Linked DNA regions of Oreochromis niloticus. The protein of the gene in region 1 interacts with the protein of each later gene in a pairwise test. Links are inferred from orthologs where the notes say so. Each region holds a gene or a part of one and is shown on either strand. Other genes may lie near its edges.

Evidence for each region.
Region 2: the proteins of appl1 (region 1) and adipor1a interact in binary tests that used the Homo sapiens proteins (3 or more experiments, as listed by UniProt). The link is inferred for Oreochromis niloticus from reciprocal best matches to the Homo sapiens genes APPL1 and ADIPOR1.
Region 3: the proteins of appl1 (region 1) and ube2o interact in binary tests that used the Homo sapiens proteins (3 or more experiments, as listed by UniProt). The two-hybrid records come from large-scale screens. The link is inferred for Oreochromis niloticus from reciprocal best matches to the Homo sapiens genes APPL1 and UBE2O.

What each region holds. Positions count from the first base shown.
Region 1 is NC_031970.2:15,828,576-15,839,273, forward strand, and holds the start of appl1 (DCC-interacting protein 13-alpha), read right to left. Parts: upstream 4,124-10,698; 5' UTR 3,976-4,123; coding exon 3,922-3,975; intron 2,530-3,921; coding exon 2,431-2,529; intron 2,319-2,430; coding exon 2,259-2,318; intron 884-2,258; coding exon 812-883; intron 666-811; coding exon 578-665; intron 310-577; coding exon 268-309; intron 1-267. Other genes in the region: kelch-like protein 10, read right to left, coding at 6,606-6,959, 7,529-7,678, 8,354-8,965, 9,461-9,950. UniProt on the Homo sapiens protein: Multifunctional adapter protein that binds to various membrane receptors, nuclear factors and signaling proteins to regulate many processes, such as cell proliferation, immune response, endosomal trafficking and cell metabolism.
Region 2 is NC_031970.2:24,623,467-24,634,146, reverse strand, and holds the start of adipor1a (adiponectin receptor protein 1a), read right to left. Parts: upstream 4,917-10,680; 5' UTR 4,787-4,916; intron 4,717-4,786; exon of another isoform or gene 4,564-4,716; intron 2,957-4,563; 5' UTR 2,888-2,956; coding exon 2,741-2,887; exon of another isoform or gene 2,732-2,740; intron 2,657-2,731; coding exon 2,543-2,656; intron 2,081-2,542; coding exon 1,909-2,080; intron 1,803-1,908; coding exon 1,616-1,802; intron 400-1,615; coding exon 212-399; intron 61-211; coding exon 1-60. Other genes in the region: inavab (innate immunity activator b), read right to left, coding at 8,950-9,042, 9,346-10,045, 10,212-10,367. UniProt on the Homo sapiens protein: Receptor for ADIPOQ, an essential hormone secreted by adipocytes that regulates glucose and lipid metabolism. Required for normal glucose and fat homeostasis and for maintaining a normal body weight.
Region 3 is NC_031971.2:27,312,626-27,323,229, forward strand, and holds the start of ube2o (ubiquitin-conjugating enzyme E2O), read right to left. Parts: upstream 3,949-10,604; 5' UTR 3,911-3,948; coding exon 3,476-3,910; intron 1-3,475. Other genes in the region: aanat1 (serotonin N-acetyltransferase), read left to right, coding at 6,434-6,581, 6,969-7,123, 7,839-8,144. UniProt on the Homo sapiens protein: E2/E3 hybrid ubiquitin-protein ligase that displays both E2 and E3 ligase activities and mediates monoubiquitination of target proteins. Negatively regulates TRAF6-mediated NF-kappa-B activation independently of its E2 activity.

The DNA.
Region 1 (10,698 bases):
ACAGGAAGTGTTTAGAACCACAGCAAATTCGTCACAAAGTGGCAGACCGCATCAAGTTACAGAGCGAGGTCGGCATGTGCTAAAAGGTAAAGCACGTAAAAGTCCCCATCACTCTGCAGAGATCCAAAACTCATCTGTTATTAACATCAGCACAAACCCTATCTGCCAGAGGCTTCATGGGAAGGGCTTTCATGACTGGAGGTGCAATGCAAGCGTAATGTGTAGGCGATAAAGTGCACTGACTGTAGTTTATGAGGTACAGCTTACCACCACTGGCTATTTGGAAGACTTCTTTAAGTGTAAGGATCTCTGGGGAGACAAAAAAAACTCACATTAGAGAGTAAAGTGCATCTGTTTATGTAGCAAGGGCTGCTGCTTCAAATTTATTCTACTACCATAAATATTAAATATGTATATTAAAAGTAAACAACTAACATAGCAATGCACAAAATAATTTAAATTATGTGTCACTGTTGATGGCAAAATAAAATTTGTAAACTGAAAATTGACATTATGCATTATTAACGTCTCTAAAGCAGTTTCAAAACTGGGTGAAAGATCTTAAAGTGTTTTCTACCCTTCAGGTCTCGCTCTTTAAACTGAGTAATGGGGAACATCATGGCATCAGCAAGCTGGGTGGACAAGACAGCATGACAGGAGCTGAGCTAGAAAGAGGAAGAGAAGGGGGAAGTTAAAATCCTAACCATGAATCAGATCAACAAATACAAATATAACACTAGTTTTTCTTATTCTTTTTATTTTGCACCAAATTTGCCTGTTTGGGACATCAAAACATGCAAACCTAACTCACTTCATCGATGACTTTTGCAAACTGTTGCAGGGTAGAACTCATCACCTCATCATCACCCCCGAGAGGAAAACGCTGCAAACAACAGCGACAATAAGGAAACATTACACAGCTGAGATTAACACACAGATTTCTGGATGTTATTAAAATCGCTGATATTTTCTATTATGGTAAAGAAAAAATCTGAATAATGCTGATCCAAAGCTGTTTCTAGAAGACAGGAATGGCCAGACTAAATTTGACAGAGGTGTGGTAAAGGCAGATGTGTGTGAAGTAACAGATAAGAGCAGAAGGCTCGTTGTTACAGGATTACAGTTAGGGTGATAAGTTTAATGGATGGTGTTACAAGGCTGACATTTAGTATTTTATTGCCCTTTTTTAAGGGTCTATTGGTATAACAAAGATAGGCTGTTATAACAGTGAGGCTATTATTATACTGTGTGGCCTGTGGCTTGTGTGATAAGACTGGGAAGCTACACCAAGCAGTGCCAAAACCTGCAGTTCTCCCAACTGACCACATAAAGCTGGCTCCAAAAATGTTTTTCAGAACAGTGACTTCGAAAAAGGCGGAGCATTCTTAGGGAAATTGGGGTAGCTTAAAAGAAATTTTAAAAGTGAAACTACGGCAGAATTAAGAAAACTTTTAGAAAACTCAACTCAAGAGACGAGATTCTGAGACCGCCCAAGTGGAAGCCTTCCGCCACTTGCCTACAACCTAGAAATTCTGTCCATAAAAATTATGAACAGAATCAGTGACAAAGGGCAGCCCTGGCAGAGTCCAACGCCCACCAGGAAGGAGTCTGACTTATTGCTGGCTATGCGGACCAAGCTCTTGCAACGGTTGTATAAGGATCGAATGGCCCGCAGCAGTGGGCCAGACAGCTTCTGGAGTATTTTGAATTGCATGAATCCTCCTTAGTTTCCAAAAATCAGTCAAATATTGAGGCACCACTGGGAGCTAAAAACAGTCCAAATTCTTTCAACTCCCAAACGATTCTCCAGAGAAGTGACTCTAATTATTGTCTAATGCTGATTTTTATCCTTATTACCATTTATCTTCTATGCTTTGTATGGTGAGTTTGGGTTTTAAAAAGGCGCTCACAAATAAAATGTATTATTATAAAATAGGATTGATGAAGTTTAGCCAAGTTAGAAGTTAATAGTGAGGTATCTCAGCCAAGTCAAACTTCCCCCAAGGGAATGTGTGAAACAATCCATGCACAACACAAAGTTAGTCATTTATATTTTGCCGGCTGGCTATGAAAAAGTCCTGATCCTAAGCTTAATGTCCACACTGAGATCTCAGTTGGTTCAAGGGTGATTCATTTGTGAAGCTTTCAGATATTTAGTGTCCAGCACTTCTTTGTAATAATAATAAAAATAATAAAATAATCTAGTGTTTGAGTGTGTAGACTTGTGCTGCGGTTGGGGCAAATATGGTGTTTCCTACCTGTTTGTCGTATTCTTTCAGCAGTCTGGAGGTCAGGTGTGTTGCAGCACTCAGCTCATTCTGGAAGACAAATCAGCAGCACTAAGAGCTGGACACACACTATCCAACAGCAGCACATTATTGATTTTGTGTTTATGTGAGTGAGTGAGTGTATGTGTGTGTACATGTGTACCTGTGCATCATAAATCCTCTGCATGGCCTGATACAGTTGTGTGCAGTAGTTGGAGATGGCTGCAGTGTCCTCCTCAAAAACTCCCAGCAGAGACCGTGTCTGCAAACAAAAACCATCAAAAACAAACAAACAAACATCATGCAGCTGATTTAACTACATGATCTGTTTTTGAAACCACACTCAGCTTACTTGCTCCCGATTATTTCCTATGCAAGTGCCAAAAACTTCACCCGGATCCATTTCTGCAAATCAAACACCTGCACCCACTACTGCTGCTCTCAAGGTGTGTCTTAACATCCTGCTGGTCCCTGTCATTTTCAAGGCATTAGTCACTGTGAGAAATAAATCACACTCTCAGGCTGTTTTCCTGAAAGCTGAATGGTTGCAACATGTTGTGTGATTATCCTGAATGTATTTCACCCTGCTGTAAATCAGATTTTACTGCTGCGGTAACCTGGTTTCTCTCCAGCTCCCACTGTTAAATTACAAATATAACAGAGCAGACGCCTAATGTACACCGAGAGAGTTAATAAGAGACTGGAGTGGATGAAGCATAAATCATTAGTTATATAGACTAAAAGATTTTGCAAAGACTGCAGAGTCATACCAGCAAATCTGAAAAGTTCCCACCCAAACCTGATAGAGTCAGCTGATTTTTTTCTACTCTATAACTTTAACATATCATGCAAAACTTTATCTTTGTATTATGAATATGTCTGAGTTTCAGTCCATCAGAGTACAGGCATTCGTCAAAATTAGTTTCCCTTATTTTAATGCTCTTAGAATTTCTTAGAAACATGAGATAGCCACATTACATTTTCAGGGTTGAAAGAACAGTTATGCAAATTCTTTTGGCTCTTGCAAATGATTTCTGTGCTTGACAGCAGCAAGAATTTCCCTGTGCTTTGAGAGCCGATACCCAGATTATCCTGACTATTAACGTAAGTAAATCCTGGGTATGTGCAGCTTCAAACCAGGTAAGTTTATACACTTTGACCACACCTCAATCCGTGATGTCACAGCAGGTGTTATTCCTAAGATTTTCAGGAAACAACATCATTGCTCGAGTTGTTTTTCTGTCCATCTGCAGCAGTGCAGTTGAAGCTTTGGGCACGGTGTGACACCAACAGAAACACAACACTGGTGTTTGACCAGATAACCATCACTGGGCAAGAGGGAGGAATGATTAGCGAAGTGGCTACGGAAGTTGCAGGTTAACCGTTGATTTATGTGCTAACCAGCACCAAATCTGACATTTCAGGATCTGACAGCTTGGCGAAAGCTTCCACCACCTGATCCATAAAGCAGTCAGTTTATGATCCCACTGCATAGCTGAAGTATCCAGCTTGAGAAGCTGTGATTAGCTGTGCCGTTAGCGATTAGCATCATTCCGATGGATGTTGGCAAACAGTCTACAAAGACAGTTAGCCTAGCTATAGACGTGGCTAGCATTAGCTTTTAGCTAAAGCCCTCGGGGAGTAGAGCTGTTACCTGCGGGCTGTCCTCCAGCGTCTCCTCTATCGGTAGCTTCTCTATCCCGGGCATAGCTGCTGCAGGCGTGTCGATGATCTCTGAGAAACGCAAGACAAACACACAACAAATCGGTCCGACAACTCCCACTCAGGATTTCTGGGCTACACGGATTCACAACACCCCAAAACAGCTCCTCCCGGTTCCACATGCCACGCCCTCTACGGGGTTTTGGATTGGATAGAAGAAAATGAAGCCAATGTGATTGGCTTATTTTTTTAAAGGAATATTCACCATTTTGGCTCTAACCGTCAGTTCAGCGATAGAGGGATAGCGCGTACACGTCAGAGCCGTAATGGCGACTACTTCGGCGAGTTTCCTGTTGAGATATTTTTTAATCTTATTCAGAAATTTACTGACGCCACATTGTGTACAATATTTTAAAACGCGTTTTTTACGGATAGTATTTTTGTAACAGATATTTAAATTTTGAAATGTTCAACTTTCCAAAATTATTACCACAAACCATATACACTGAAAAAAGAACCAACTTAATTGAATTATTTCAATTGGTAACACCTAATTTAATTAAGTTCTTTGAAATGAAGTTAATACATTAGAGTAACACAACTGATTTATCTAATGTATTAACTTCATTTCAAAGAACTTAATTAAATTAGGTGTTACCAATTGAAATAATTCAATTAAGTTGGTTCACCTATTTTCTTTTTTCAGTGTAAAATGACCATGTTTACAAATATAATTGTTTGTTGAGAAATGATGATGATGATGATGAGCTGAATAATAACTCTTCTTCTTTTAGCGGCTCCTTTTAGGGGTTGCCACTGTGAATCATCTGCCTCCATCTCATCCTATCCTGGGCATCTTCAACCTTCTGCAGGTCCTCCATAACTGCATCCATGAATCTTCTCTGTGCTCCTCCTTTCCTCCAGCCTGGCAGCTCTGTATTCAACATCCTTTGTCCAATATATCAACTGTCCCTCCGCTGCACATATCAAAACTTTCTCAGCCTTGCATCTCTAACTTTGTTTCCAAAACACTCTGAGTTGTCCCTCTCATACAATATTCATTCCTAACCATGTCCATCCTGTTCACTCCCAATGAAAATCTTAACACCTGCAGGTCCTCCTCCTGTTTCTTTTGTCAGTGCCACCATCTCCAAACCGTACTTCATGGCAGGTCTGATTACATTCAAACCATTCACTCTTGCTGCTATCCTTCTGCCACAAATCACCCCAGACTCTTGTCTCCACCTACTCCATGCCTGTCTTCTTCACCTCTCTTGTGCAGTCTCCGTACTTTGGACAGTTGATCCCAGATATTTAGACTTCTCCAGCTTACCTCTGGTCCTTGTAGCCTCACTGTTACACCTTTCTCCCTCTCATTCATACTCGTACTTGTTTCTGCCTATACTTTAATTTTCACACCTCCACTGCTCCAGGCTTTCTCCCAACTTCTCCATACTCTCACAATGACATCTGCAAACCTTATAGTCCAGGGAGACTCCTGACTACATCTTCTGTTGACCACTGTGATCACCATTGCAAACATCAGTGGCCTCAGAGCTAGATATCACTCTATCCCAGCAGTCTCACTAATCCTCTACACTTCCCGATCCACTAACTTTCATCCAACACATCCTCTCCTCCCTCTCGTTTTCTTCATTTATCAGGTCCTCAGAGTACTCCTTCCATCTTCTCAACACACTCTCTTCACTTGTTAGTACATTTCCATTCTATTCTTGATTAATCTTTTCCAGCTTGATTTCACTGCCTAGCCAATCAATACAAGTTATTTCTCCTTCCTCAGTGTCCAGCCTAAGATATCACTTACTATAAACCTTTAGAGTAGGGGTGTCACCACCAGGGGTCCGCTTGCGGCCCACGTCACCCCTATTTGCGGCCCATGTATTGAAGTGAAGAAATATAAAGCAATTTGGCCCTTGAAGTAACTTTTTTGTTAGGGAGGATTTGTTTTAGTGTTGAGTGCAATGTTAAAATAAGTTATTTAGAAAGCAAATAATTATTTAATATAAAGGCAATATGAGCAGAGAGTACAAACATGTTGAGGGATTGGTTGTGTTAGTTCAGTGAGAGAGTTAAACAATTTTAACTAGCAGTCAAAAACTAATTTGTACACTTATTTCTGCATTTTTATTTTGTTATATACAAACAAAATTATAGCAAGGAGGAAAGAGAGTAACAATTTGTTTATTTGGTAGTTCAATGAATGGCTTCAGTTAAGTGTGAGAAAAAAAAATTTTTGCTCATGTTTGCATTTTTGTCTTGTTATACAATATTTTCTTGTTTGTTTCTTTTGTACTAAAGTGGCGCTCCAATGAGATGACAGTGCCAGCATTGGCCCACAGCTCATTTAAGTTTGAGACCCCTGCTTTAGAGGTAGAGGTGCATTTGCTATGTTTCTTTGTGCTGTATAACCAGCCTCCCAGTAGTCCTGTCTACTTTCTTCAGCTCCCTCACTATCCCACTTTCTCTTTATATATACTGTATGTATACTTATCCATGATATTAATATTAATATTAATATTAATATAAATCTGACCAAAATCATACTATAATACAATACACATAAAACATACAAATATATAGATAAAGTAATAATAATGCAAAAAACTTTTATTATTAATTAATTAAAATGCTACTATGATAACAGGCAAGCTGAAGTCAGAAGGTTCCACCTTCCTCATCCACATTAGGCAGCATTAGGGGATCACGAGGGAACAAATTCTCCGCCAAGCTGTAGAATCCATGTAGCACGCAGCAGCTCAGGCCACTGCGGGACTCCGCAATGTCCGAGGTACTGTACCACCAACCGGCCTCCCCATCGTAGCGCTCCACAGAATACATACAGTGATAGCCACCATATCCTCCGACCACAAAGAGCTGGTCATTCACAACTTCAATTCCAAAGTGGCTGCGGGGGTAATGCATAGATGGCAGGAGGCGCCATCTGTTGGTGATAGGGTTGTAGGCCTCAACAATACGCAGTGGGGTGTACCCATTAATGGTGCCACCAACCTGGGAGTGGGAGAGTGGGATGAGTTCATAGGAGAAAGAAGTACCACTGAATAAAAAAAACTATGAAATACAACTCTTTTGGACATGTTTTCCTCACTGCAATGCTGCGACTGGCCACTAGGAAAAATTTGTTAGTAAGTCTGAATGACTGCTCTGTATTCATGTTCTAACCTTCAGCACTTTAAGGGACCTAACCCCAGTGACCAGAGTCTAAATGAAGCTCCTGAGAAAGGAACATGAAGTAAAGGAAGAAGAAGACATGCAACAGACAACAAAGCACCAGGATAGTTTTTAGATCTGACAACTACCGTGGGGAGACTGTGGATGATTTATGTCATGCAATCTATGCCCTACAATGCTAAAGTCAAATTCATGGTGGTATGTTTCTTTCAGCTTGTGTAGGTGTTTGGCCCTGCACAGTGCATGATTTTATGTATGCAATCTACATTAACTAAGCAATGAACTGGGAGCTGCGCCAAGGCTCAGTTTAAGAGAAATAACAATTATTTTAAACTGTGAAGCTTGCAAAGTTACTCTAGAGTACAAGAAAATTACTGTGGTACACTTACTGCATATATCTGGTTTTTGTAAGCAATAACCCCCAGGCCTCTTCGCCTGCACATCATGGGAGCAATTGTGGTCCACAGGTTGGTGTCTGGATTGTAGCATTCAGCTGTAGGGAGGCTATAAGTTTGATAGAAACCCCCACAGATATAAACCTGTAGTAAGGATTAAGAGAAATTAAGAGCAAATTATTATTCATGAAGCGCTAGCCCCTCCCACGGTGTAGTGGCAACACAGTTGTAGTTAAGACATTTGCTTGGCAAGTGAAAGGTTGCTGGTTTCATTCCAGCAGACACAAATTCCCTTTGAAGTTGTGACAGAAAGGGTATCAAGTGTAAAACTGCAAAATCAAACCTGTGGAGCTATTTGTAGTAAAAGGAAGCAGCTGAAAGGGAAAGTAGCTAATTATCCATGAAGAGCTAATCAGAGTTTGGTAGGCAGGTTCAGGAATAAAGATATATTATCTAATAGCGGAAAAAGAAATGGCAACAATTACTGCATTTTTACAGGACATACAGGGAGAGGTTAAAAATTCAAAGAAAAAATGGAAAACAGTGTAAGGGTATCTGTTATCTCTTTAATGGTGGCTTTGTTTGGGTCCACCTTGGAGACAAGTGTCAAATCAATAGAATGGTGCTCTAAATGAAAGAAAAACCTCTATTCTGATAGGAGTGGTTGTTTCTAGGATGATATTACACCATTCACTGAGCCTGAAAAGTCATTAAATTGTTCCTATAGTCTGGCTTAAAGAAACATGTTGTCAGGCTGAACAATGAAGTGAAAACAACATAGTTTGGTCACTGCTTTCAGTCATGTCTCCTTGCAAGTACCTTTCCATGCAGAACTGTGGCACTGGCTGCAGCTCGCTGTGCATTCATTCTTGCCACGATGGTCCACTGGTCAGTCTCAGGCTTGTAGCACTCAACACTGCTCAGGGATATTTCTCCGTTGAAGCCTCCCATGGCATAAATGCATCCATTCAGCACAACAACGCTGACATAGCACCGGGCATTGTACATGGGTGTCACAAGTTGCCATGTAGAGCTGCTGAGATCAAGTCTTTGCACAGTTTTCAAGTTAGTTTCATGGTTGCAGCCACCAATTAAGTAGACAAAGCCATCCAGGGTAACGGCTCCATGGTGAGCACGATGAATGTCACAGCCCACAGTGGCCCAGCTGTTGGTTCGGTAATCATATGCCTCATAGCTGCATCGTGCAGTGGAGCGATTTTTGCCTCCAGTGACCAATAAGATGGAAGAAGGCAGACGTGGCCGGCTCAGCAAGCTACTGTAAATGAATTGTGGACGTCTGTTGAGACCACAAGCTTGAAACACCTCCACGACTTCATTGATAATGGACATGCATTCAGCATTGTTCTTTATCATGGCATTGTTCATGACGCTGTTTTGGAAGTATTCTGAGGTCATCAACGTGAGCCGTACCTGGACAAATAAAGAATGAGGGTTTAAGGCAAAGGTGTCAGGCTAATTTTTAATTAAGTCACATGCAGCCTAATGTGATCTCATAATGGCCTCAATGAAAAAAAGTCACTCCTCTAAATTTTTTCTTGCTTTAAGTGTAAAAAAATACAAGTGCGTTGTGGAAACACTGATTTTCACACAAAATGATCCAACTTCTGACTAAACTGATTGTAATTCAAATTAAACCACTAGTGGGGAGCAATTTAACATATGTGTTGATATGTTTTCAGATATAATATTCTGCTGTTATAACATTTGACATTTCTTTTTAACCGTAACCCCATTTTATACATACAAAACACCTGTTTTGAAGTAAAAACTTTTGAGTTGGACCCTCTGACGGGCCAATTATGGTGCCTGGACTACATGTTTGCCACCCCTGGGTGTTAGTATACATGTTACGATACATGTTTTATTAAGCTGACTACAGCTACAGTTGATTTGTGGTTAAGTTACCTTGGGCAGCAGCACAGAGATACTTCCTTGTCTTTGGTCAGGCATATGGTCAATCCACAAGAGGATGACTTCAAATGCTGTGTTTTCACATTTCACATTGAGGTGATCGTTCTCAAGTACAACGGCTAGCTGCTGCTCAGAGAGATCAAGCAGCTCCTCTGGGGTACCGATGATTTCTTCAAAGTGATGCAGGATGTAGAAGAAGGCCCTTTTCCTCAGTTCAGGGCAGTAGTAGAAGTCCACCAACTTCCAGATGCCAATGCAGTTCTCCGGAGACAGCTGGTCCTCCAGATAGGAGCAGCAGGCCCGAATTATCCCCGGGACCAAGAACTGGTCTGCAGCTGCTAAAATGGGCACCACATTATCCTCTGTCAGAGGAACAGATTTGGTGTAGGCGTAATTGATGATGACGTCCATCATCTCAGATGACACGCCAGGGATGGTGTACATCCGCTTCTCCGGAGTGGCCCAGGCTCCAGTGAAGAGAGTGCTGTGGGATTTAGAGGACATCAGGTTTTCAGGAAGTATATGTAGCACATAAACTACTGCTGGATCAAACAGGAAGTTGTTAATTTGGCATGAATAAGAGGTTATTTACAGTAAAATTTATCTAGAGCTCAAACCCAACAATCTTCAGTGCACATTCATTCACTAATAATATGACCATATCCAGAGAAGGGGACTGGGTGACAATGCCCCCCCTAAAATAATCCCATACCAATGCCATTGGACTAATGGACACAATTTTATAATATTAGTTTAGTACTAGATTATGCTTTAATATTAAAAACTAAAGCTTACATTTAAGTAAATAACATTTTCTCCAGCTGAAATATTAAAGTAATGTACACATTAATGAATTAGTAACTGCAATCTAATATAATGTCTTGATGCATGCATCATCCAAGTAAGGAAATCCCAAAAAAGTTGATTCTGTTCATCTGGACGTAACGTTTTCAGTGGGAGAAACATTTCATCACTCATCCAAGCGATTTCTTCAGTGTAATAATAAAATGTTTATGTTTGTGCAATATGAGAACCTTCACATTAGGTACTTTAAGTATATCTGAACACAAAAACTTTTTGTTTCTTTTCTTTACTCAGTGGAATTGTCACTTACTTAAATATGTGAGGATATCCTGTAGTCAGACTAACAGCAGATTTAGAAATGTGATGGACTTCAAGTGCCCACAGATATATTAATGGTCACTTATTGTTCTGACCAAACTCCATTTCTC
Region 2 (10,680 bases), about 8.8 Mb from region 1:
CCTCAATGGTGAAGTGCATGGTGGGAACAATGCCACTTAGTCCGAGACCCATGAAGACGCCTAGAAACATGGATTGGAGTTACGTGTTATTAGTTTCCTGAAAATTATCCCCACTGCTCAGAAGAGGAATAAACGGATGTGTGATAAAACTGCAACCAAAACAAACTGCTGCAAGTGTAAACAGTGTGTATGTTCCTTTACTGGTGCCCACCTGCTCTTGTAGGTCTGTGACGAGGTGTAGAGAATCGGTCCCACTGGGCGACAATGATGGCGGCAATGCCGAGGATACATACAATGGTGAGGTAGATAAGGCGAGGCTGAGGGGAACAATAGAATGAGTAGTACAACCAGGGCACGAAGGAGCCCATGATTAGGAGGGCGATCCCCGAGTAGTCAAGCCTGAGGAGAGAAAATAAGTGTTTGGATAGAAGACCTACAACAGAAATATCAAAGTCATTTTACATTGCCGACCACATACAGCCCACTTTGATCTTAAGTGGAACGGACCAGTTTAACTCCTCTTTCTGTCGGTATAGACAAGTTTAGAAATATTTTAATATTAAAAAAAAGTGCATGTTCAGAAATGCCTCTAAGTTTTTCTACATGAGAAAGAAATGCAGCTTTGGTCTTAAATTGTAAGAAATAAAGCTGTAAAATTACAGAAAAAGTTCTGTTAGCTCATTGTGCAGGCTGTCCTGCAATTATAAAACAGATAATTTTTGTGAACTGAGAGAATGTCCTCTTTTTGTTTTATAGTAGTAGTATTTGTAGTAGACAGTGAAAAAACAGGAACTTTCTGTCATTTAATTGTTTATCTATTACTTAGTTACTTTGGTGTAGTATGAATGGAGGTCTTTATCAGTAAGAAAGGATGTAAAACTTGTGAAAATACAGTTAAAAGTCTAAAATGCATTCTGTGCTTCATATTTTTCAAAGCCATCAAGTGGGCTAGATTGGAGTCTTTCACGGACTGATTCTGGCCCCCAGGCCTTATGCTGCGACACCCCTAATCTAGAAGAAGCAAAAACTAAAAACTTTTTGATGCTTCTGAAAAAGAAAAACAACAGAACTTCGTTTCCAGGTCTGTTCAAAACATATATTGTTGAAATATGATAACTGCTATGTAAACATGAGCTGTGGGTATATGAAGTATAGTGATGCTTCAAGTCTGCCACAATAAATACTCCTATGTTGCATCTTTAACCACAGATCAATAAAAGCACTGACAAACTCTGGGGTCAGGTTCTTGTTAAATGACCCTTGGAACATGGACAGAAAGGGTTGGGATCAAATAACTAGCTCCTCCTGTTCTTACAGTAATATATATGTGTGTGTGTGTGTGTGTATCAGTTAAACATCCAAACAGAAACATGTTTTAAAATAAATACTAAAGTCACTTGATGATTAAACAAAAACTATAGAGGATTTAGCACAGAGTTATAAATATTTAATCAATATTACACAACACTCAAGGTGACAAGCTCGAGTTCCATGTGTGATTTGAAGATGCGACTGAACTTTAACAGCCTCCATAAACAAATGAGAGTTTATTTAGTCTGACAGAAATTATTCGTTCATGATGTGCAAAGCACCGTTTAACAGTGTGAGGCCTTACTTGGAGAATGTGCGAGACACTTTCTCAGAGTGGCAGTAGACCGTATGAAAAAGCCAGGAGAAGCTGAGGCAAAGCACAGCACCCAGGAAGAACATCCCAAACACAACCTTCTCTTGCAGCGGAGCCATAAAATACATGTTGGGCCGCAGCATGGTTAATGTGCCCAGACACAGGAATAAGATCAGCCCTGAGAAAGACAAAACAGGCTAGAAATATGCAGAATGACCCAGATGAAAATATTTTTGACCATAATGAAAATTTTTATCTGCTCCTAATCAGTCTGTAATGCTCACCTAACAGGTGAGTCCAGATGTTTCCTGTTTCAGTGTGAATTCTGAAAATGCTTCCAAAACAGGCCCGGAAGGATGGCATGGGTGGTCGATGTCCATGCAGGAGGTAATCGTTGTCCTTCAGCCACTCTGGCAGGACATGAAAAGGGATTACTCTCCAGCGCCCCTCCCAAACCTGAAAAACAAGAATAACTTTTGCTCACAGAGGCATAAATTCTGAGTTTATTGTGAGGGTCTTCAAATAAAACACACAGAAAAATGAAAAACAATACAGGAGTTATATTCAGCATGTTAAAGATTGTGTATGAATAAAAAAAAAAAATGATATGGAAACATGTCTGAGAGTTTGAAGCAAAATCAAACAAACCAATAATATTTAAAGAAAAAAAAAAAAAGAAGTATTCCATAAATGTGTCTTACAGAACTGTGACCTAGATATGAAAGACATTTTTCAGTACAAAAAAGAAGTGCTCATCATTGCTCTTGTGTGGACTACTTACTTAATGAACACAGAGTCTTGTGATTTATTAAGAACACTGACATATTCTTAATAGGCCAATTCATTAGCCTTTTTCCCTCAACGAGTTCTGTTTAAGCATTAAAAGACTTTTTGGGGGTTTTTTTTGTTTTTTTTTACCTTATGTACAAACTCCTCCATCTTCTCCATGGCATGGTGAGCCTGTAGTGGTAAGGTCAGAACCTCACCCACCTCATCATCCTCCTCTTCCTCATCAGCAAGCATTGCGGCTCCCTTTAAAGAGGTTACGACACTACTGAAGTTACAGAGAAATAACAGCTTCTTTCTTTGTTGCTTATTCTGAAACAGTCCTCCTACCTCAGGATGGACACTTTTGGATACTGCCTGCCGCGCCCCTCCCTCTTCCAGCAATGGCCCCAGCTCCATCAGCTCAACATCTGGGACCTGGCAGTCCTCAGAGATCCGGCAGTCTGCATCACTGGCAGACCCGTTTCGGCCTGACATAGGGAGACTGCCTGATGATCCACTCACAGTCGATGTATTCTGCTTCAGATGGTATACTTGAATTTCCTCCTGGGGGGCACCAGAATTGCAATCAGCTTTACAATCTAAGTATGTCAACACCTTCCTGTAGTCTGACTCCAGTTCTCTTCAGTCCTCGAAACACTCAGTGATTAAAACTACACAACTAAAGACTGCAACAAAAGTAATAAACTAATAAAAGAAGAGTAAAAACAACCACAATTAAAAAACGAATATCTGTGATAAGACCAATATTACGTTATCTACAGACAAAAATGCCTCACAATGCAAATAAGCTAGAATTAATTATGAGATGATAACTGGAGGCAAGAGGCCAACAGTGTTACTGGCTGATATCTCTGTTGTATAGGATAAAAGACTCATTTCGAAGCACCCAGAGCACAACCTGAAGACATAAAAATGAACTGCTTTGTCCACGACTTGAATTTGGAATATTTAAAAGAACTAAACAAAGCAAATCAGGATATTTTGTGTTTTTTATTTAGAACCTGACAAGTATGTCCACTAATATGGAGCTCTAGACCAGGGATGTCACCTAAAACCTGGTCTGAAAGGGGATCAGCTTTAAGTAACTGAGAAGGCAGAGCCTGTCAGTGAGGAGAAAAGAGGTGACCGACTTTAACCTACCTACCTACATATTTAAATAAGCAGATTTGAATGTAACAGGTTAAGTTTACATTTATCAAATGAATGGTATATCCTATGAACGCTGATGCTGATGTTAAACACTTTTCTTTTTTTTTTTGTGCCTGTGGTAAAATAAAGCCATCAGTCCAATTTGCTTCAGTTGGCCTCATTTGTAAGTGAAGTTTCTGTTTCCATGTTACTGTGTCACTATTAGTAAGCTGCTATATTATATTACTATAAAACATTTAGTATAAATAGTCTGCATTGGCTTGCTTCAGGTTTATCTAACTGAGAATAAGCCTTTGTAGAAAAACAAAGAGAACAAGGAACGCAATCTGTCTGTGTTGCCTTGTTTTTTGATTAAAGCTAAACATTTTCCTGTTATTTCTGCACTTCTGATAAACAAAATGTCCACTGTGCTTCAGGAAATGAACCCCGCTTAACAAAACTGGTTAGAAATAATCACTTTATTACAGATAAATGCTGCTGATTTTCTACATTCACTCTAAATGAAACCTCTTAAGAGGTTTTCAATAACTCGTCTTTGCCATAAACCCATCTACTTGTAATTTCATAGGGCTTCAGCAGCTCAATAATTAGCACTCACAGTGCAATTAATACGTCTAGTACTTCTAAAAAAATGGACATTAATGTGAGCTTCGCATGAAACGCCTGTGTTACTGACCGAAAAATAACAAGGAAACAAAAGAAGTGGCTAAACTTGTTGTTAGCTGTACGTCTCCAGACAAGTACAGCACGACGGCAATTCTTATTTCAGACAGGATAACGATTTATGATGTAACCCTAGTACTGACAGCACACATAACACATTTAACCATTTTACTGTTTAGCCCAGGCTCCCAGACGGATGTTGATTAACGTTAGCACAGCATCAGACGGAACAGGGAGCACAAAATGTAAACAACACCAAGATACAGAGGATTTGATACAAATTCTCAGTATCAGTACGCTTTCTTACACTTTTTAAGGAGTAAAGCATTGATTGTTACCTTCTCCGACAACGCTTATAATGAGCTGGTCTGAGGTGCTATAATATCAGGTTGCTAACGTTTCCTTTAAGCTAGCGCCGAGCTGTCGCTGAAGAGGGGACAATTTTCAGAGAATTAACTTAATAATAAAAGTATTTACGAATTCATCAGTCTGAAGTATTATCTAGAAGCTTTACTGTCCCAAGATCCTTTATGACAAGTTCATTTAAAGCAGAAAAGTTACCTGGCAGGGTAGCCTTCAAACCAGGAAGGTGAATTATTTACCGACGAGAAACACAATTCTTTCCGGAAGTTGAAATCTCTTTTGTAAGCCGAATCCAGTTCTCCTTTCAAAATAAAAGCACCCATTCGACTGTCGAGAACAAGTCAGACGTCTTCACGAGGTCAGAAAAGGTTTTTAATAATTAATTTTAGTCAGTGCAATTCCAAAATGACTTACACAATGTAAAAATATTGTTTTTAAATGTAAATGTTTACAAATGTAAAACAGACAATAGTGCAGCCCCTACCCCGTTACACAATAACTGGTAGGACTGATATGGTACATAATTTGCGTAGTGTTGGAATCTTTGCACTCGTGTAAATAACCAAAATAAGTCCTGACTGCTGATGTGGTCTGCTGCCCTAACAGTCAAGAAAATGTTTTTATATGCTCCTGTTGTTGCATATAGCTCTGCATAAATCAAATTTTATCCCACGTCGTCCGTTGACAGTCACCAAACGTAATTTTGTCGCATCTTTTTAAAATTACAAATAAATAATCTTAATCTTAAATGTAAATGATATAAAAATTAATTTACTATCGTGCATAACTATTACACTTTCGTTTCTTCTAATTAGCTTTTGTTTTGACTTTAGCCATTTATTCGTTTCAGCAATAATTTAACTCGTTTCAATTATTCCAGTTTGGAAGGATTTTATTATTGTTTGTACAACACTTTTTGAAGTGTTGTGTCAAGCCGCTAAATATAAGGAAATTTCTGTATAATTTATGTGTACAATATTGTTCAGTATCTATTTTTATTTCAATTAACCAAAATAGTTTTTTTTCACACGCTTGTCTTTAATTTTGTTTTTATAGTTCTAACTATATCAACCTTGCTATAATCCCTTTCGAATGACTCAGAGGTACAGTGCCTCTATCTGTAAATGTCAAAATGTAATTTCAAATATATTTTAACACAGACAGTGCTTGTGTTTAAAATGCATTATGGTGTGTGGTACATCAAAACTAAGATTAACGAAGACCAACAAAGCACACGCTAAGAAAAAAAAATTATACCTGTGCCTTCCTGTGCTACCCCCCAGCCTCCTATAGATGCAGCTATTGTATTAATGTGAAACTTCATATAACTTTCTTCTTGAGTTATCATGTTCATGAGATTTTCAGAAAACTTGACCTCTGACCTTTAAGTCAAGATCACCAATAGTTAAACCCCTCCACGATTTTCAGTTATTGCATCTATAGTAACAATTTAAAAATCCTATTTTTTCTCGTTTTCCAGTTATTATGTTCACAAATGTGGGTGTCCACGCCACCTGATAATAACCCATCAGCCTTTTATGACTAAGGGGGTTAAAAGTAGACTTGTGCAGTTTTCTGGAAACACTAAGACTATACATGGTAATATTTTTTTTCTTTACACTTTGTGCATCTCAGATATAAAACAGTGGCTAACCTGCTGTTATGGGTAATGTCTCAAATATTAATGCAAACATTTTCTATTTACAGTTTATCAAAGTGGGTTTCTCCCTTCAATGTTAATAGTAATTAATGTTAATAGCATTAATAGTAATTCACTGGCATTCAGATCAATGCTTAACCTGTAAATATTAAAGTGGCCAAAAAACAAAGAAAAACAAAAACACTTCACTCACATTTCTGAGGATGTCTTTAATCATAAATGACTAAGTAGTGTGTTTCTTCATCTCACACCGTTTTCTTTATTTGTGAAGTTTATATAAAAATTTTAGCATCAGCACATTTACTCTAAATGTAAAACCATCCCCAAAACACTTAACTTCATAATTAATATTTTGTCAGTCCTCTTGTTATTTCTCTGTCATATTTAGTATGAGCGTATGCCATCCTTGCTCTTTCAAAGGTAGATTGCACAAAAGGCAGTGATAGTCCAAGTCACATGATCGGTTGTGTCTGAGGATGACCAGACAGTGTGATAGTGAGCCAGCATCTTAAAAATGAATAATTCAAGCAACGATATGGCCATAATTGCGTACATTTACATCAATTTTTTTCCCTACCTTGATATGTCAAAATGTCTTCAGGAAATATTTGTATTACAAAGGTCCCGTTGTAACGGGACCTTCGGGGTGGCTGTAGCTCAGGAGGTAGAGCAGGTCACCTACTGATCGGAAGGTTGGAGGTTCGATCCCAGGCTCCTCCAGTCTGCATGCCAAGTGTCCTTGGGCAAGATACTAACCCCAAGTTGCTCTCCGATGCATCCATCGGAGTATGAATGTGTGTGAGTCTAGTTAGAAAGCACTCAGTATAGAGGTAGTGCTTGCGAGAATGGGTGTGACTGGGTGAATGTGGTGTGTTGTATAGAGCGCTTTGAGAACTCCGGGAGAGTAGAAAAGCGCTATATAAGAATCAGTCCATTTACAATATAAGCTAATTAAACTCAACAATAATATTTATTCATCTCCACAGGGAAAACACTTTCACAGGTTTTTTTTAAAAACAGCAACATAACACAATAAATCCACTTAAACTACAGTAAATGATAAATAAAAAAGACAGTAAAAAAAAGAGACACAAAGGGTAACATGATTGTGGTCTGTTTTTCTTTTTGTAAACTAGACACCTGTTTTGTTTTGCAAACTCTGGTCCACATTTTATTTAATTTCAAGTCTGACTTTTCACGGGTCCAGTGGTGCAAATCACAATAAATTAAGATAAATAGATTACTGTGAGAGACCAGTCAGTGTGTATCTGTAGCTGAATTCGCTCTACATGACTCTGATTCTCAAATATCTATTATTTGAAGTTTGTTTGGTTGAGAGTGGTGGGCTTGGAGTGTTTGTGTCTACCTCAGTGTCAAACTATTACTGCTGCTAACAGAAAGGTTAGTGAACTGCTCTCTCAGACGCAGGTAAAGGCACAGATGAAGTTCAAAACATTACAATTTGACACGCTAATAGCTGCCAAGCCTCAAGCCTCTGCTCAGTTTGCCACCATCCCACATGAATGAGTTAGTGTCTAGTTTCAACTAGCTGTTTAAATCTGTTAGTTCAAGTTAAATGTTTCTGTAGCTGTGCCAGTTAAGTATAACATTGAGACAAATTTGCCTCCGTAAGTATGTGATAAAGAGATCAAACCTGGGATCTTGAATTAAAGCAGCACAAGTTCATTAAAACTGTGACTTAATTAATCTCAGGTAACATGATAAAAAAACAACCCAAACACACACTTATAAAGGGTGTGTTGCTAATTTGCATTATTTTAGCAGTAGACTCCTTTCCTTCATACAGGTAGGATGAAAACGAGTATATTAGTTTTCCAACTAGCAAACAGCAGAAACTTAGCTTCTCTGTCTGGGGGTACATTTCTCAAAATGATTAATTATTTGGTTTGTTTTAAGCTAGAGATAACCACATCTATGTTACATTAAGGCCGTGCTAACACATATATTTTCTTGTTTTAAAACACATTTTAATACATTTATACATCATGTCCACATTACTGCATTTAAGGCACCATAAAGCATTATTTTTTAACCCTGTTTAATTCTGCATGTTATAGATGCAGGACGCACATCTATTGTGTTTTAAAACAAAAACATGTTAGTGTGGATCTAAAGTACCTAAGGTAGTTCAATATCAATCTGGCGTTATCAATTCATCCCAGATTCATTTCTAATACAACTTTACATCTGACTACATTATGCACATTTTGGTAGCTGATTCTTCGTAGGAACTCATGTCATCTCTTCCTCCAGTTTTCATTTTGTTTGATTGCTTCAGATGTGAAGGAATGATAAGAAACCTGCAAGGTTTAATCAATGGATTGACCTAAATTTAGCTGGCTGCTTCATTAATAGTAATTCACTGGCATTCAGATCAATGCTTAACCTATAAATATTAAAATGGCCAAAAAACAAAGAAAATCAAACAAACACTGCAATCACATTTCTGAGGATGTCTGATTTATGGTAACCTGGAGACTATAGTTAGTGCTGTGCCATGTAACATTGTTTTGTAAGACGCTCCAATTTTTCACTCCAGGATAACAAAAGCTTTCATGAGAAGTCCTGATAGAGATAAAAAAAATGCTCTACATCAATTTTCTATCTCACTTTGGTATAATGGGAAAATATGCTGCCTTTACATTAACAGAGTTAAGTTTGGCATCCAAGTTTCTTCTCTTTATACTTGGCTGTAAAAGTGAGAGGCGTCCTCTCCAAACCAGTGGCCTTGAGCACCCTCTGCAGCTCTGTGGAGAGTCCCTCTTTGAATAACCTGGAAATGATCAACAGAAAGAAAAGATGAACATGTGGAGACGTACGTACAGCAGTAAAAAGCAGAGTATTCTCCCTGTCGCAGCAACACAAAGTAATTGTTCACTTTCACTTCAAACAGCTGCCAGCATTTAAAAACGGAGACAGGTGTACAGTGTTACTGTGTCAGATCATCACAATGCAAACATTTTGTCTGTATCATATCAGCATTTATGTATTGTTCAATTTCTCACCTACTTATGACTCTATTAAAGAAAGCAGAATGAAATGCTTTGAAAAAAACGAATAAGCTTAGCTCATTTACCTGCTCATGGTACTGCTGAGTTTGGTAGCAGGGCGACTCTCCGACAAACACGTTTTTCATCCGCATTGCTCCCTGTCTGTCAAGGGAACGAGACCTGGGTGCTCTTTGCTGACTGCGTCTGTGCCACGACTTTAGCTGTTCGTTCACTACTTGTCGTGGGAGACCATTCATGTGGCATTGTGGATGGTCCCAATTTGCTGGCGGGGTGATTCTAATATCAGGAGCAAAAGGCCTCTGTACTCTCTGGTGAGGTACTGCAGTGTCTTTATACCTATTATCATATCTATTCGAGGAACAAGGAGCTTGCTGGGGGAAATAGCTTCGTGGCATATCCATCTCATTGTAGACCCGTTCTTCATTGTAATAGGCTTTTGGAATACCAGGACTGGGCTGCTGCCGGGGATTACGGTAAAAGCCAGCATGTGGGAAAGCTTGAGGTCCATAGCTGCCAACTGGGCAGGGGAGCAGGAATGCAGATGGAAATTGTTTGGGCAAATCACCGGGCAATTCCCGACACGGGGAGCTATTGTAAGAAGGAAACGAGTTTTCAGAGTTGCTGTCGTCAGAGCTAGCATGGCTTCTGTAGTTCAGTGTAGGGGATGGAGTCTCTGGTAAAGTTATTGAGTATTCGGTCAGCCGCCTCCTTGGGCCTCGGGGCCGACCGCGCTCCTTTTCAAATGCAGAGTCAGGAGAGGACAGCCTGTGCAAACCACAATAATTATAACAAACACAATAACAAAGCTACTTTGCAAAGAAACTGCATGAGGCTTAAATAACTTTAACTATATTTTTAAATAATCCATTCAGTAAAGGAGCACCACACAGGGTGCAATTTCAACATGCAGATATGTGTGAGGTATAGCTACCTGAGGGAGAGCTGTCTGTGCACTCGCATCTCTGGGGTGGAGGGTGTACTGTTTGACTGGGTGCGACTCAGCTTTAGATGGGAAAGTTGAACAGGCAGAGCCGACTGTGCTAAACAAGCATCCAAAGGTGGCAAAGACTCAGGTTTGGCTGGGCTGCTGAACACACAACATAGGAGAGTAATTAATATAACAATATTTCTTATGAATGTTTAATGTGGGTACTACATGAAGGGTGGACAGTGTGGACATATACGCACACACACTTTGACAAATGCATTTTGACATATCAAACATTGAGTGATTTAATACTGTGGCAAACAGCAATTGTTCCTTTTAGAAATGAAAACAAATAGAAGAATACACATTATCAGAGGCAGGAGTTTCTATATATACATTTGTATAGAGTTACAGTTCTCAGTTGGCTCTGCACACTGACTACTGTTCTATTTAATTCAGAGCAATAATGGTT
Region 3 (10,604 bases), on another chromosome or scaffold:
AAAGACAAAGCAAGGCAGCGTTGGGCCCTAAAATAGGCTTCTTCTGGTCACATCCTGTCTCTGAAATGAGTCTGTGTGAGCTTGTTCCAGGCCTGTCCTCCTTTAAACTCCGTGACCCTTTTCCACAAAGCCCAGGAGAACCCCAGAGAAGCTTAGAGGATGCACAGAACAACAGGTTTGCAAAGTCTGCACCAGCTAAAATGTCCTCATTATCTGGTGGTAAAATGGTAAAACTGCACAAAGATGTACGCAACAATTTACATGTCTAACTGAACTGAAACTGACAAGAGGTTTTAAAACGCTGAGAGTGTAGTTTACACCGATAGAGGTTAGCGACTTTCTGTGCCAACATCACATATGTACTGTCCAGATTCGGCTGAATTCAAGGTCTGATGCTGAAGCGCTCCACACTGCTTTTCCTCGAGGCTGCTCCAAAATCCAGTCACTACAGACTTCCATGTTAAAATGTTCGAATTTACAGCATTAAAAAGCATGTTAACTGCCCAGAAGAAAAATGGTTTTAACCTCTGAATTTTTTGTAATTCATCCATTTGAATAGCAGAAGTAAGGACAGTGAGGTGAAGAAGAGCATGTAGGCAGGGTGGAGTGGGTGGAGACGAGTGTCACAGGTGATTTGTGACAGAAGAATAGTGGCTAAAGCAAAAGGGAAGGTTTCGAAGATGACTGTGAGACCTGTATGATATATGGTTTGGAGGAGAAAAAAAAGGAAGACAGCCTGGAAGTGGCAGAGTTGAAGATGCTCAGAAGAAATAAGGCTATCAGAGGGACAGCTCTGGTTACGGTTTTGGAGAAAAAGTTAGAGAGGCAGGGCAGAGATGGTTGGACCATGTGCAGAGGAGGGATAGTGAATATATATGACAAAGGATGTTGAGAAGGTTCATGGATGTAGTGAAGGAGGACATGCAGGGGGCTGATGTGACAGAAGAGGATGCGAGGGATAGAGTGAGATGGATGCAGATGTGGTGACCCTTAAAGGGAGCAGCCGAAAGAAGAAGAAGAAGAAGAAGAAAGGATACTGGAGTTCAGGGCGTGGCCACTTAGACAAATACAGGCAGAAGCTGACTGCACCAGACAGTCAAAGTGTTACGGCTCATTTAGATTTCTCTGGTCAATTTTTGTAAAGCTTAAAATCTAAGTGTCTACATACGAGGCTGGCACTGTTACCAGCATTCATGCTTTCGTGTGGTACTCTGTGTTAATTATTATGAGTGAGAAAAAGGAAAAAAGAAAAAACAAAATCAATACAGCATAGTGTCAGTGTATTTTTGCACAGTTATATTGTTTCGATACGGGATGCCAAATATCAATATTTCATTAAATAAATACATTAAATACAAATACTTTGGGAATATTACAAACCGGGGGCTCATCCTACCTGATGGGTGGCAATCTTTCTGCAAGCAGTTGCAGTCTGATTTGGACTGACTGCTACCACTCAGAGAAATCACCAGAGGTTTGCAAATATTTGCTGTCTACTTTAAAAATGCAGACTTTAAACTTCAAAACAAATGAATGGCGTCCAGGTGTCTAAATCTATATTTCATACCTTCTAAGTTCAGACTCAATAGCCTTCAGAATTTTAATCAATCACCTTGATATCTCAGTTAAAAGGTATTGATTCATATTGGTTGCACTCCACATAATCGCCCCAGTGTTGATCATACTGGCAGTATGAACAAACTACTGATCAACAATGTCAGCTGATTTTTTTTTTTTTAACATACAGGTTCATCATGTCCAACCACCACCAACGAAGAAAAAAAAAAAAGTCCTGTATCATCAGGAGTGATGTAATTGATTAAAAATTAAAAAATATAACTTACACTAGGTTTAATGTCCTTAAAGATGATCTGAAACTATGAATTAACCGAATCTCCAGGCACTGATGCCCAGACAGGGTGCTGCACTAAAAAGCTCTTTGTGATTGCTGTGGTCACTCGTCGTTTGCAGAGAAGACACTGACTTCTTTATTAGCCAAGTGGCTGTGAAACTGAAGAGTGCAACACTTGTGTGGAAATAGCTAATGTTTGCCTTCAAAGTAAAGAGTTATGCCTTTTGAAACACGGTGGTTTCAGCAGTAAGGTACAACTCTTACATTAAAGGTGAGCGGCGCAAATTTCACTAGCGCTCAATGGTTTGTTGGCAAATACGGGCATGTTGACACCTTCCATGGAAACTACGGGCGGCTGCAGCAACCACAAGGAGGTTATTGGTGCAGCATACAGTTTGCAACAGACAGCAACCTCCAGCAACCACTCTCCAACCGGTCTTAGGTCTGTGTGACCGAAGCCTAAAAGAGAACTGTTTTAGCAATCAATAAATAGTGAAAGAACTTGTGCAAAAAAAGAATTCAAATCTTCTTTGGTAACGTTCCCGACATTTGAAGCAACAGAGAAAATACAAAGCACAGTAATCAACAAGATTTGGTTTCAAATGACTAAAAGGACACTACAGAACCTCAAGGCATGGAGGTAGATCGAGCAGATAATTGGGTGGAAGTAAGTAGTGTGTTAGATATGTAAAACCCTGCTACAGAGGAGCATTAGAAATGATCAGCCATAGACTATAAACTCTCAGTGCAGCACATCTGCACTATCAAAATTTAATTATATTAAAATATCTGACCAGCAGCCAAGAAAGATGCAAAAATATGCTCACAATGATGCAAAAGAAGCAGCACCATTTTGGTTTCAATGTTCTAAACTAATGAAGTTAGATAATAAACACAATGAAAAGTAAATGAAAAAAAATGCTCTAAAAACATTTAAAAAATTCCAATTAAATCCCTGCTGTTCAACTAATTCATTAATTGTGATTGAGCTGGAAGACATCTGCAGCTGATAGAGAGGACAAGGCAACGATTAGAGCCTCGTTCTCCTGGTCTGACCACGGTGCTTGGGAACAGACTTAACTCAGATGTGTATATTTATATAATAATAAGAGATCTTCTATCACACACAAAGCTTGGTCTCAGGCCAGGTCACACCCAGCTATGGATCTACACTGAGTCAAGGATGAGCTAATCAATAGGTGTAAGGTGTCTAAGCAGGGAGGTGCACCTGACAGGACCTGTGCAAGCCCCTACCTGTCCGGTCAGTGGTGTGTGTGTGTGTGTGTGTGTGTGTGTGTGTGTGTGGTGTACTAGCAGCGAGCTGGCTGCAGTCAGGTGGATCAACCCTGCTCAGCCTGTCGGGACCAGCTGAGATACATGAGGCTACGAGCTAAACTGCTAGCTAGCGTGTGTGCTTGAATGCTAGCCAATTAGCGAGCTAGGCTGCAGGTTTTAGTCGGATGGATCAGGTGAAGCTGATCACTGCTTGGGTAACAAGTCCACCGATCACCCCCTCTCCGAAAAACCACAACAGGCAGGTGAAACAAAGCAGTCCTGACGTCAGGCTGAGATAACCACCGACTGCCGGGGTAAACAGTGAGCACGTTAGCAGCTGTGTGGTACCTTTGTCTCCCTGATGTCCTGCTTTGCACCTTCGGGGTACCACTGGACGCGGACAAATCCCCTCCCGAGAGGCCGACTTGGGGTGTCCACGGCGCTCTCAGTGTCCGAACCGCACGGTACTCGTCCGCCTCCTCCTCCACCGCCGCCGCCGTCTCCGCCTCTCCCTCCGCCATCGTCGAGGTCCGAGTCCGAGTTAAAATCCTCCTCGCCGTGGATCATCCGTACGAGGCCAAACCGGACTGAGCCGCGATATCGTCCGGAGACCAGGTCGTGGGAGAAGAGAAGCCGCTGTGAGCCGTCCGCGGTGGGGGAGAGAGCCATGGAAAGAGGCTCAGAGCCCGGGCTGGCTACGGGAGAGAGGCCCGGTGTGGGTGATGATGCCGCTGCTGCTGCGTCTGTCTTGGTCGCTGCATCCGATGCTACGGGCTCCGCCATCGCCGCTGTTGTCAGGGAGTGATGCTGGAGCGCGAGGATGACGGTGGAATAAAAAAAACTGTAACCTGGAAGCAGCGAAGCGCACGTGTTTACGTAGCTACGCAGGCTACGTAAGAAGCGCAGTGTGGCAGCGTCATCACGCAGTACCCGCTGTCACCACTGAGGGGTGCCGAGAGCCAGAAACAGGAGCCACCGAGAAAGACCGCAGGCTGTACGTAAAGTATGATTTATAATCAGGTGATGGGAGAGACTCTCTAACTTACTCTAACTGCGTACATTTTTATTTTACGCCAATATTTTAATGGTTACATTTCGTTTTCTGATGTAAATTTCTAATATTTATTGTTATAAATTTCATTATATTTAGTTATGTTTCCTTTTTAATTATATTTTTTTAAGTCACGATAGTTAAAAAAAGACATCTCTCTCTCTATGTGTGTGTGTGTGTGTGTGTGTGTGTGTAAATGAGATCCATGATCCTATGTGGATCTTACCTAAATTATTTAATATTGTTGCACAGTGAACACTATACAAATAAACATGCAGCTCAGTTAACAATAAAAGAAAGTTTTCCTTTAATTTATTATTTAACGTCTTTCCACCCCAAATACATCTGAAGTAACCTGAGTTTATTAACTTTCAGTGCCTCATAATTAAACATCAGTTGCTTGCTTTAAGGATAAATCTGTTTTGTTTTTGATTTGTTTTTTTTGGGGGGGGGGGTTATGATAATCTTCTCAGTTTCCAAGTTCTCAAAGACATTTACAAAGTAAAGCCCATTAGTGTTACAGGAGATAGAATACATGACAGTTTAATCTGTTTTTAAAGGAACAGGTCTATAAATTTGCAAAGACTGAAAAGCAGGAAATATTCTGGAGATTAAAAGGTGACACTTTCTTCAACACATCCATCCTCTTCTACTTATCTGATTCAGGGTTACCTATCTCAGACAGAGTGAGAGGCAGGGAATACTTTGAACAGGTCAGTAGTTTATCACAAGATTCACATGTAGAGAAAGACAACCATTCACACCTACAGCCACCGAATAACCCAACCCAGGCATGTCTTTGTGACAAAGACATTGTATCCAAAAAGTTGCTACAAAAACACAGGGGGAAAAAACACCCTGCAGAGTCTGGATTCAACCCAGGACCTTCTTGATGTGAGGCAACAGTGATGACCACCATACCACTGTCCCACAGGTTCTTGTAAGACTTCTATTTAAAACAACTGATGAAACCTTTAGGGAGTGCAGAAAAAAAACACGGCATTAACAATATTTGAAACCGTCTCATATCTAAACACACAGGAGAAAACACAGATAACAGATTCTTTATATTTACTTTGCTGAACAGCACTGTCGCAACTGTCTCAACATCTTCAGCACAGTTGCAGTTTTGCAGACAACAACATGTAAAATTTGTCTTTTAGGAAGAATGTGGGGATAGAGCTGTGTAGTGTCACAAAAGGAGGTGTCCCCATTACGTTTATTACATCACCTGACATATAAACATGAGCACAAAAGTCAACCACTGAAACTAATTTTTCTGTTCAGCACTGTAAATAAATAGGTTTGATTTGTTATCTTAATAAAAAGCTTTTTTTTGTAAATTCAAGGATGACAACAATAATTATGTTTTAGCATTAAATAAGCACACTGATGAATTTACTATTAGACAAACATAAAAGTGATTTTGCTAATCATCAGTATTGTTAATTTAGTGTAACTGTGGCATAAACCTTACATTTAGGTGGTGTTCTAACATATTTGTTAAGCATTGTATGTCCTGCTCTTGGTGTCAGTTTGCATTAATTTGATGGGAAATGCCCTCTAAACGTGAGAAAATGCAGTAAATTATTTTATGATTTCATCTCGTGAGGGTAAAAGTTTGTTTGGAGAGGATAAATTCTTCAGGGAGCTTACTTAAACCCCCACCAGGTGACAAACAACCTCCTACACATCCTGTAGCCTAATCCTCTTACAGAACTGGAAAAATAACCCATGGAAAAATCGTGAACTCTGCTTAAAGGGGCTATGGATAGACAAAAGTCTCCTTCAGAGAAATAACATGAAGAATGGTAAGTCGAGCCGTTAAGATGGCCCAGTTAAGAAACACGCAATCTCCTCAGTGTGACAGCATTAATCATCACTGACGTTCTGATGATTAACCAGCCAGAAAATCATTTTGTTGGTGTTGGGAACTCAGCAAATCCAAATCGGTTGGTCTGATGGAGGCATGACGCTTATCCCGCCTGTAAATATGTTTATGGTTCAGTTTACTCACGGGGAGTAAAGGGTTTATCCATACAGCTCACTTCAGGATTACAAACGGTATAAATACTGGAAGCGCTCCACTCTCCGTTCAGTCTGCGCCAGCTCTCACGGTACCGTTACGCACGGATCACGGACACCCAGACAATTCATCTCGTTGTTAAAAAAGAGACTGACACGAAGTCAGACTAGAAATTGTCAGCGCAGCACTCTTAGCTTTCCTGTGAAACTTTCTGGGAATAATCAAGACTATGTCTGTGGTGAGCGCAGTGCCTTTCCTGAAGCCTCTCCACATGCGCTCTCCGGTGCCTCAGGGCCGCCGCCACACGCTGCCGGCCAGCGAGTTCCGCTCCCTCAGCCCGGAAGATGCCATCAGTGTGTTCGAGATTGAAAGAGAAGGTAAGCAGACTCTTTGAACTTACGTTACAGAGCAATGGCGCTTTTAAATAACTGCCTGAATTTCTTCAGAGGACTCGCGTATTTATGCAGATTTACGCACGCGAAGCGTCTTTTAAGAAAACTGCGGGGAGAGATTCTCAGCTAATAACACAGATTTTATTTATGTTCTCCTACTGAATAGAAAGCTCTCTACAAACCTGAGCCATCACTGATGTTATTCACGGGTAGATTCTCTTCAGTTAACTGTCCTGTACACTTTCCTTGTGCTTGGCAGTCAGTACATTTGGGAACATCACGCTCAGCTTTAACATCCTGCACAACTAGTACAACTGTCTGATTGTGGCAACCGTGACCCTTATCTTCTTCCTCCTCCTCCTCCTCACACAGCTTTCATCTCTGTCTCCGGTGAGTGTCCTCTCCACCTGGACGAGGTGCGTCACTTCCTCACTCTGTGTCCTGAGCTGTCTCTTGGCTGGTTCGAGGAGGGACGGCTGGTGGCTTTTATCATCGGCTCACTGTGGGACCAGGAGAGGCTTACCACGGTAAGACGGAGCGGAAGACACCTGGACAGTGATTTATCTCCGGTTGAGAGTCGAGCAAAGATTCAACACAGATTAAGAGGCGCTTCAAGTGCATAAAATTCAGTGGATGGTGATAAATCTTGCCGACAGATGAGTTTTTTGCCAGCCGAAGAGAGAACAACAATAATCATGGAAGCTGCCTGACAATTTCTTTTAAGGCTACAGCTGTACGAGTTTTAAGTTTCCACAAAGTAGAAACAATTAAAAAAAAAAAAAATCAATCTTAAATTTCTTCTTGATGACACAGTTATGTGAATCCAACCAAGAATGAAAGACTCTGTGTTTGCTATAAACATTTAATATTCGAGGACTGCAGGCTGGAGTCAACATGTAGCTGATATATTTTCAAAATATTTTAGTTTTTGAAATAACAAACTGCAGCTTTTAATCCCAAATACAATCATCATTATCATTCAAGAGTTTATTCACCATCTTTTAATTCTCATATTTACTTTTCATTCTTTTAACTAAAAGTTATGATGATGAATCCTGCTGAAGTCATTTTAACTCCAATATCAAATTATTTTTAATGAAACCACAGTCATTTAAACTTGAGCACTTCATTTAGCTTTAATTATTAAAGATGGCTTTTGGGGGTCTTTTAAGCTTTAAATATTTCTGTGGGTACCCAGCAGGATGTTTTACTTCTTCTGACAGCTCTCCTCTTCCTCTCCAGGACGCCCTTACGCTCCACAAGCCTCACGGGACCACCGTTCACATCCACGTCCTGGCCGTCCACCGGACCTTCCGCCAGCAGGGAAAAGGCTCCATCCTGATGTGGCGTTACCTGCAGTACCTCCGCTGCCTGCCCTACGTCCGCCGCGCCGTGCTCATGTGTGAGGACTTTCTGGTCCCCTTCTACCAGAAGTCAGGCTTTAAAGTGCTGGGCCCCAGCAACATAACAGTGGGGCCCCTTAACTTCACAGAGATGTTCTACCCCGTGAGGGGCCACGCCTTCATGCGGCGCAACAGTGGCTGCTGAAGAGACACAGACTCGATGTGGATTCTCTATAGCTGTGAATGGAGGTGAAGACCCCTGAGAAACGGGGAACAGGTGGCACGTGATGAGCCGTGCAGTGAGTGTCTGTGATCATCGCTGTCTGTGAGTGAAGCCTGTTTGTTAGGCAGGAAGTGAGGCGTGAAATCTGACCCCGAGTCTGCAGAGAGCCAAAAACAGAGAGATGCTAAAAGCAGCCGTTTGCAAAAGTGTCCTGAAAGTAAGCTTTGATTTGCATTTTAGTGAGTTAGTTACACAAAAAACAGAATCCCAAATCTTTATTTTGATAAACGCTGGACATTTATTAATTGTATCCAACAGAGAACTGCTGCCTTCTTTATTTCCTTCTTGTCTTCTTTTTTTAAACAGTGAGGACAAGTTTAAATAATAAAGCTAATTTCTTAAGTAATTCTCCATTAATATGTAACAGCTGTAGAAGATTACTGATTATGTGACACTAAAGTAATTTTATAACTACATGCCAAAGTAAACAAAGTCACCTTCAACAGTTAAAATGACAAAGGAGAGATATCACAGCAAGGCTAAATATTAACATTTAATTTATATTAAGACTTCAGTGATCCTGTGACTGACCGTTTATAAATCGGACGTGTGGCACTTTAAAAGTCTGTCTTCTTTATGGGCTCGTCAACTTTTTCTTGTTGACAGCCACCACTTTTGCCTCGGAGTCTTAAATCAAGACAAACTCATTTTTACACTGTTTTGTTCTAATAAAGGTTTTATTTTCTAACCTCTGTCTTCATATGTTATTTACATTTTTAATAACTGCTGAACATGGAAGGGGGATGTTCATTTTTACATTTTTCTGGGATTGCTGAGGACCAGTGTCTGAAAAACTGACATTTAAAGTTTGTTCTTGACTGAAGAAAACAGCAGCTGAGGAAACATCTCTGCAGCTTTCAGCCTTCAAGAAATGTCAAACTCATTTTACAACAAAGGCCATATACAACCAAGTGACGACTGAAACTCCACTTTCTGTCAATGTAAAGGTACTTAACTACACATTTAATCCCTGTGATATCTTAAACAACAGGAACTTTTTCTTATTTAATTGTTAATTGATTACTTAGTTGTAGTATAAATGGCTTTGGGAGAGGCCTATCAGTAGAAAAAGATGTAAAATGTATAAAAATTACAGTTAAAAAAGGTCCAAAAATGTACACTCTCCTTCACATTTTCCAAAGCTGTCCTGCAGGCCCGATTGGAGTCTTTGCCAGGCCAATACCGTCCCCCTGCACTAATATGTAAATAAATAAAAATCAAGTAATCTCTGTAAGTCTTCCTTTTCTCCACATACATCTACAGCAGTTCATCATATGGTGGGTGTATTGCTGGGGAGTAAGTGCAGTCAGGTTTGGGAAAACAACATGAAATCAAACTACACAAACGTACTGTTGACAGACTGTAATTTATTTTCACATGGTTGCTTCAATACACATAATTTCACATATAACAGTACCGTGAACATCTCCTCTAATTCATTTTAGCATTCCCTTTTTGTTCCAATAAATAGGGAAAAAAAGGGGACATTATTTGGTCCCGATGCACATGCAGCTGGCCGTGCAGCTGCTGCATACAGACATGATGGTGGAAGTGGCTTGTTGTGTTTCATGTTAAACATTCACATGCGCACACGTCAAAAGGCACAGTAAAGGTTTCCTTAAAAAAGAAAAAAAGAAGAAGAAGAAGAAAAAAGAAGGGTGGATGTCTTTGTTCACACTTTACCGGTCGAATGCACGAGGGCACGTCTGTATGAGTCCTGTGGCTCCAGCAATGCAAAAAACAGTGACGCTAAAACTCAAAACATCTGAAGCATCCAACAAGCGACCTACTCTGGATGTTTGTGTTGTCTTAAACACAGGATTATCCGTCAGTCCTATAGACTAACTCACATAATCTCATAATCACTCACTAACTAAACTCACATAATCCTCCACACAACGGTCAATATTGTGGTTCTAACAGTCGGGGTCAACTCAAACAAGAACCCCGAACAACAACGACACCCGTGATGGTGAATCAGTTTCACTTCAGGCTGTCGGGCCTCTGAAATGTGTCGTTTCCAAATCCGCCATCAGCTGCATGTGTGCAGAGAAGTTTGTCCAGGTTTGAAATCATTTCAGAACATTACCGAGTGAAAATGGAGATGGCGACGCATTTCACCAACGTTTCAGTACCTGGGTGAAACATGTAGGAGATCCCGTGAGTCTGACTGTTTCACAGAGTCGGAAATGTAGTACAAATCTTAATTTGATCTGAGAAAAGCAGCCTGTGAGATCATTGCTAAATAAATACTGTTTTCTTGTGTCCATTTTTTTCACAGAGTAAATTAAAAACAAACTAAAATGAAAAAAAAAAAAAAAAACAGTTTAGGCACCACTGTGTTACCAGACAGAAACGATCAAATAGTGATTTTAGTGATTT